Linked DNA regions of Xenopus tropicalis. The protein of the gene in region 1 interacts with the protein of each later gene in a biochemical or structural test. Links are inferred from orthologs where the notes say so. Each region holds a gene or a part of one and is shown in the gene's direction. Other genes may lie near its edges.

The links.
Region 2: the proteins of kdr (region 1) and shc2 form a complex in vitro, tested with the Homo sapiens proteins (2 studies listed by BioGRID). The link is inferred for Xenopus tropicalis from reciprocal best matches to the Homo sapiens genes KDR and SHC2.

Annotation. Positions count from the first base shown.
Region 1 is NC_030677.2:40,279,555-40,282,396, reverse strand, and holds the end of kdr (vascular endothelial growth factor receptor 2), read left to right. Parts: coding exon 1-141; 3' UTR 142-2,022; downstream 2,023-2,842. UniProt on the Homo sapiens protein: Tyrosine-protein kinase that acts as a cell-surface receptor for VEGFA, VEGFC and VEGFD. Plays an essential role in the regulation of angiogenesis, vascular development, vascular permeability, and embryonic hematopoiesis.
Region 2 is NC_030677.2:105,548,305-105,552,768, reverse strand, and holds the start of shc2 (SHC-transforming protein 2), read left to right. Parts: upstream 1-1,404; 5' UTR 1,405-1,467; coding exon 1,468-2,013; intron 2,014-4,464. UniProt on the Homo sapiens protein: Signaling adapter that couples activated growth factor receptors to signaling pathway in neurons. Involved in the signal transduction pathways of neurotrophin-activated Trk receptors in cortical neurons.

The DNA of each region.
Region 1 (2,842 bases):
GGGTACCATTCTGATGACACGGAGGCAGCTACAGATTCTAATGAAAAGACACAACTACTCCAGAGAAATTCTTCATCAGACACTTGCCATACGGACATCATTCGACATGAAACGGTTCTCCAGTTAAGCACAGATGTTTAAACATGGAGGCAGGCTGGTGCCTTTCAATTTAAGAAGCTTTCCTAGGAGCTACAAACAAACTAGTCTTCCTGTGCACTACTCTTAATATTGTATTTCTTCAACTCCTTCCAGCAAGAGGCCAGAAGATATTAAGGACAAATGTATGCTTCTTTGGATCTACCCAGCAATAAGGAATAGATTCCAAATGACAATGCCTTAAACAAAGAATATATTTTTATATAATTTTGAGGGCAGAGTATGGATCTTCTGAAGCCATGATTCTTGTATGGACACCAAATGTCTGCTATTGCATTATGGGAGACTGAAAGAGTAACTGATAAAAATATTAAGACTCCTGATTCCCCTTCAGTACAGTGTTTAATGCAAGTCATGCCCTTGAACTAATCTTGGAAATATCAAATCTTGAGCTGTGAAAAACTGAGTTGCTGCTGCACTATTTCTACTACAGTTCTGTCTTGAAGACAAGAAAATCAAAGTCAATAATGTTATATGGTGTTATCATGGCTTCATATTAGGTCATGTTTTGTAAGAGAGACTTACAGTGTATTGACTACCAGTCATTTTAGAATACCAGTTATGGATTGGTATAGTTCCTGGATACTGGAGAGTGATGATAACAAGTGTAACTTGTGTGCTACATACAAACACATGAGCAATAGCAATTTTTTACCATTTGCCTTAATTATTTGACTCCTTTCTTTTACACAACTTGTATCATAGAATAATGAAATATTGTCCCTAGGCTGAAATGAAACAGATGAACAGTGGTTAATTTGTTGTTAAAATGTAGCATATATACTCCATCATTTTATATGATGATCTGGTGTTTTGGGGAATATTTATTATAATGTAGAATAGATGATAAACCTGCCATTATATCAAAGCTATATCAACAGTCATTATATCAAAGCTGTAAAATGAATATGTTATTTAATTACAGGACATTATAACAGTATTAACATTATTTTGTTTCACTTTTCTAGAAAGCATAGGGTTACCAGGTAGTTCCTACATCATTATGTATCAAGGCTAGCAAAACAATCCAGTGACAGAAATGCCTTACATTCTGAGGCTGATTTAGTTTTAATACATTCATTCAGCAGAGATGAAAGGAGACACAAACACCATTTTACATATTTATAGTCCATTGTAGTGAAAAGAAATGTAATATATAGTTATTTATATTAGTAAAAGGTTTTATATGTGTATATATAATGAACAGTTTTATAAACTTCTAATTTTATATTTTTTGTATAAAGTTTTCTAACTGAACCAATTAGCTGCCATATAGAATTTTATTTTAATTCATGAAAGTTTCGGTATGATGATGAAAAGATTTTTCAAACCTCGCTGTGTCTTAGATAAGCTATGCCTTATAAGATGTAATTTAGATGGGAGAGCCAGTCCCCAGCAGTTACTGAGCATCCCTCCCCCAGCCTGTTTGCCATGGTATTAGTTGAGGAACGCATGTTGGACATTTCTAATTTAAAAAGCACTCACTAAATGTCTTTTCTTGTTTTAAGAGATAATGACAATATTTTAAAATGACTGCACTTCCATTGAAAGGACCTGATACTATTAGTGATGGCAAATTTCAAAATTGCTCTCTTTTCCAGGGCTAGGGCAGCCTGAACTTCCAAGCCCAACAAGCTGAAGCTGTACTGCTGTGCCCTGCCATAGAGGAGAGCTGTTAGGTGCCCACTTCTAGTGCTCTTTAGTGGCTGCAGCCTATCAGTTAAGGAGGTCAGGACATTAGGTCCAGAGAATGGCACAGCAGAAATTTCATAAGAGTGTCAGTATCCCTTTAAATGTGTAAACTTGTTCTTGTATAATAGAAAGAATTTAAATCAAATATTAAACTGAGTATTTTTACAAGAAAAACAGTGTCTGGTTTTTAAGTCTTTGAGTTTTTTTTCCCTGGCAAGTATGACAGTCGTAGGCGCTGTCACTTGATACATAGGAGTAGAGTTGGGGCACAGTTGTAGTTGAGGTCGAAACTGAGGGTAACAGCATTTAGAGTAGAATGATATAATGAGTGCTCTGTAATGAGACTGCCCTTCCAGGTATTGCTGCCTGGGTCTCAATCTTAACCTTAAAATCGTGACTTTTTTCAAATCAACACAGAAGTTGCACATTCGGATTCAGTTCAGCATTTGGCTGAATCTCTCACAAAGGATTCAGGGATCCTAAAATGTTGCATTTGGTGCATCCCTACAGGATCCCTCTATATTACTGCACCCAAAACTGCTGCCTGGCCTGCTATTTTTCATCTTTATGAGACATTTTTTTAAACTCTGTTACCATTGGCATTCTGGTAGACTGTATAGAATGTAAAAATACTGGTTTATTAAAGAGACAGTAAAACCCCATTTTTCAACATAAGTGCAGTGAATAGGGCTTGGGCTGAGCATACTTTTTGCCTAATGTTTTAATACTAAAAATCAGTTTTTTGTTATATCTTAAGCTATCAGGGCTGAAGCTAATCCATGTGTGGTCCTTGCAAGATAGATCATTTGATTACAAGTGCACAGATCCTTGCCCTGTTTAGATAAAGAAAACAAATACCATATATTTTTTGTGATTAAAACAATAGGCAATAAATGTATGTTCATTGCACATATGCTGTACATGGGGGTATACTGCCCCTTTAACTAAATAAATGACTCCGTGACTCAGCCTTATGTGTGCCTGTTGATCACTT
Region 2 (4,464 bases), about 65 Mb from region 1:
ATATGGATTGATTGCATCTCAGTGGGATCAAGTATAAGGTACTATTTTATTATTATTATAGAATTAAAAAACTGAATTATATGATTACAATGGAGTCTATGGGAGAAGGCCTTCCAGTAATTAAGAGCTTTCTGGATAATGAGTTTCTTTATAACAGATCCCATACCAGTACAATAAGGTATGGAATACTGCCATGGGAAAACATATTTTTTTCAAAACGCATAAGTTAATAGAGCTTCTCCAGCAGAATCCTGCATTAAAAATCCTTTTTTCACAACACAAACATATTTTTTTATATTTAATTTTGAGATTTCACATGGGGCTAGCCATATTCTTTATTTCCCAGGGTGCTACAGCCATGTGACCTGTGCTCTGATAAACTTCAGTCACACTTTACTGCTGAGCTGCAAGTTGGAGTGATATCACCCCCCCCCCCAGCAGCCGATCAGCAGAACAATGGGATGGTAGCAAGATAGCAGCTCCCAGTAGATATCAGAATAGCACTCAATAGTAAAAAATCCAAGTTTGGCTTTGGACTCCTCCAGTTACTTGGGAGTAGGAGAAACAATAGGTTACCTGAAAGCAGTTCTAATGTGTAGCACTGGCTCTTTCTGAAAGCTCAGACTCAGGCACAATGAACTGAGATGGTTGCCTACACACCAATATTACAAGTAAAAAAAAATACATTTCTTGGTTCAAGAATAAAATTTTAAATGGTAGAGTGAATTATTTGGTATGTAAACAGTGTAATTTAGAAATAAAAAGTATACCATGAAAATCATGACGGTATCCCTTTAACTTTAAGTTAAAGTAGAAATGAAACTTAAAAATATACAATGTATTAACAACTTTCATACAAAGAGGGTATAGTTGTATATAACTTCTAAATAAAAATAGGGTATATTTGTATATCATTTCTAAATGAATCAGTTTCAAAACAAAACAAAATGTAAAAAAAATCCAGATATGCAGCTTTCTGTGAAAGGTAACTCTTTTGAATACACAGGCATGAGTTAATGTGCATCTAAGTTCATCTAATACTTACATCGTTTTGCTCATTGGACAGTAAGCTATATAAGCATCCTTTGCCACAAGTGTCTGTGGTACAGAATATTTCAGAGTAATGTGAATCAGACACAAGGAAAATGACATACATTGCAGTCCTAGTTTTACTTTGGATATCAGTGCACTCTGGGTCATTTTATAACATCACCATTAAAATAGCACTCGCTGTGGACCCTTATGGAGAGTGCTGGGGGGATGGTACCACAGCAGGTTCTGCTGACCTGAGCTGGGATGTTGTGTGTGGTGGGGGAGAAGGAGTAATATGAGAATGACATCATCTTGTGAGAGTGGATCCTCCCAAGGGAGAAGGGAAGAGAAGGAGGAGGGAAAGTGAGAGAGAAGGAAAGATTTAGAGAGGAGAGCAATCACTCTAAAAGCTCTGGATGGATCCCAGCACACGGCATGCTGGCTGAATCCAGGTATGACCGATTTCGCAACGACTCCATAACTTCGGCAGAGGAGCAACTAGCACTGTCAGCCGAGGCCATGAGTGGACAGGTGGCCCCTAGTTCTCCGACAGGAGCATCTGCCTTAGGCCAGCCTTTTGCAGAGCCGCAGTACCCAGAGGAGCAGGATGTGGCTACCACCTTCTGTATGATGATACCCAGGATGGGACAATGGAAATTCTCCAGCCCCACTGCCTTCCTGAGTCGTTCCCCCTCTGGAGGCAATAAGGAACTGACCGTTGACAAGTCTGGGACAGGAGGGGGATTAGGATCAGTGTTTGGAGCCTGTGACCCTGTATGCTCCACACCTTGTACTCTGCAGGTGATAAACCGGTTGCGAGGGGGTGGTAGTGGGGGAGCGCGAAAATCTGCACGGACAGAAGCATATAAAGTCCAAGGGGAGGAATGGAACCGTAAAGGGACATTTATTAACAAACCAGCTCAAGGCTGGCTGCACCCTGACGACCGACTGCAAGGCCCTGGCGTTTCCTATATTGTAAGGGTAAGTGGTCTTAGATGCAAGTAATTTATTTATATACTTTTTTATTTCCTGTTATTTATGTAGCGCCAACTCATTTCTGCAGTGCTTTACAGACATTATACAAAATTCACATCCGTCCCTGCGGATGAATTTACAATCTAAAGTCCCAATCACATTCACACACATATTATTATTAATTTAGTTAGAAGCCAGTCAACCTGCCTGTATGTTTTTGGAGTGTGGGAGGAAGCTGGAGTACCCAGAAGAAACCCACGCAGATATGGGGAGAACATACAGGTACAAACTCCTTACAGATAGTGCCCTAACTGGGATTGAACTCAGGACCCCAGCGCTGCAAGGCAGAAGTGCTACGTAATGATCATGATTTACTATATGATGAATTCCTCTTTGAAAGATTCCAAACGCATTAATCTAAAAAAACAAAAAGTGCTGTTCTTGAAAGAGCTTCCTGTTAGCTTTATAAGATCTAAGGGTATTTTGAAATATTGCTTTAAATCTGAGAAGAATATGTATAAACGGGTCATAGCCTTTCAATAACCAGATATAACTTCTCTCCTAAAAAGGCCCACAGGTTGCAGAGTGATACGCCCTAATGGTTTAATGTCTTTAGAGAACAGTGCTGGCGAGAGATGTTGTATTCTGCTTTCTGATTGACCCACTCTTCCATTCCTTGATTAGATTGGTAGAAATGCTGATGCAATGTTTTCTTCTTTGTTTTGCCTTTCATTGATTGGCTAAAGACTCCTTTGTTTTGAAAAGCCAAGGGTAGGGCTGCTGTCATACTGGAAGCTGTCATCAAAAACAGCTGTAGTATGAGCTCACAGACACAGCACACTAACAAAGTTGATACATCCAGCTGACCTATCTGTGATAGTGTCTGCCCGATAGGAACATAAAAACTCCTCTCTGTGCTTAAGTTTTTAAGGAAGGGGTTTCTCCTTTTTTGAACAAAAAATAATCACTGTATTAATGCACTTGATTAAGCCCTGCATGTAAAAGATAGATTTGTAGAGCTGTATTCAGTATTTAAACATAGTATGTGTGAGTTGTTTTGATTGGATGTCATAAATGATCTAGTATTTTAGATATGCAAGAAAATGCAGCTTTGTTCTACTCTATACCCTGCAAGAGTACATGGCATAAATTAGAAATGAAAAGTATAAGCAGATAAAAGCCATTGGTTTCAATATTTCAACACTTTTGCTGTGTAATGCAATTACCTAATTGTCTCTTTTACTGTCCTTTACTATTAGGTGCCAGCAGTTCTCACTGAAAGACAAATGATATAAAAACATATAAAAATAAATAAATAAAAAATACGGTCAAATCTCTGACATTTTCATAAGCACTAATTTAGGTGGAAATATGTAAACATCATTTTTATTTATACTTATTTACATTTTATTGAATTTATCACTAACCATATTTTTTATATTTTAGTTTTATAGTTTTTTAACAAATTAAAAGTTGTTCATGATAGATAGATAGATAGATAGATACATACATACATAGAGCGTAGGCTGAAATGTATAAAATAGATACAAAGATAGATAGAATGATAGATGATAGATAGATAGATAGATAGATAGATAGATAGATAGCATGTAGAGTGTAGGCATGAAATGTATAAAATAGATACAAAGATAGATAGAATGATAGATGATAGATAGATAGAGAGATAGATAGATAGATAGATAGATAGATAGATAGATAGATGTGGAGTGTAGGCATCAATGTACAATCATGTACAGCAGTGCAAACCAATAACTAGTGCAGAGTCAGTGCTGTTAGCCAAACAATAGTGGGCCAGTTATCCAAAATACCTGGGCTGTGGAGCAACATCCAGGAGATTGGTGAGCAACATGTTGCTCACGAGCCACTGACTGGGGATGCTGGTCTAGGTAATAAAAAAAGGTGTTCCTTATATAAATGTAAGGAATAGAATGTGATGTTTCAGTATATAATACACTCTTACTTCATCTACATATGTGCACTGGTGAATTCACACGTGTATAAAACACAAGACCTGTGAATAAGCTGTTTCTAAACAGTGCTTATCGATATCTTCAGTTATAATATGTGATCAATAATATCACTATCACTAGTATTGCACATTATATTGGGGGGAAGGATACCTAGAATTGTGTGGCAAAAACTCACCATGTCTTTCAAAGATTGTGGACTGGGACTTCCAATCTATATTTATACTACTTAACTTTCCTACTTCATTATGTTGGATGGTGGTTTGACCTGGACCTGTACAATCCCAAAACAACATTGCAGGTGTTGACAGGTGGATCACTAGAGAGACTCAGACAACACCCATATAGGGCAATTTCTAACCTCCCAAGGTTCCCTGCAGTGACAGTGCCCCTGTTGAAAGCATGGGTACATGCACTTCATCATTTACTAAAGTGTTCTGTATTAACTCTTTATTCTCCCACTTTTACT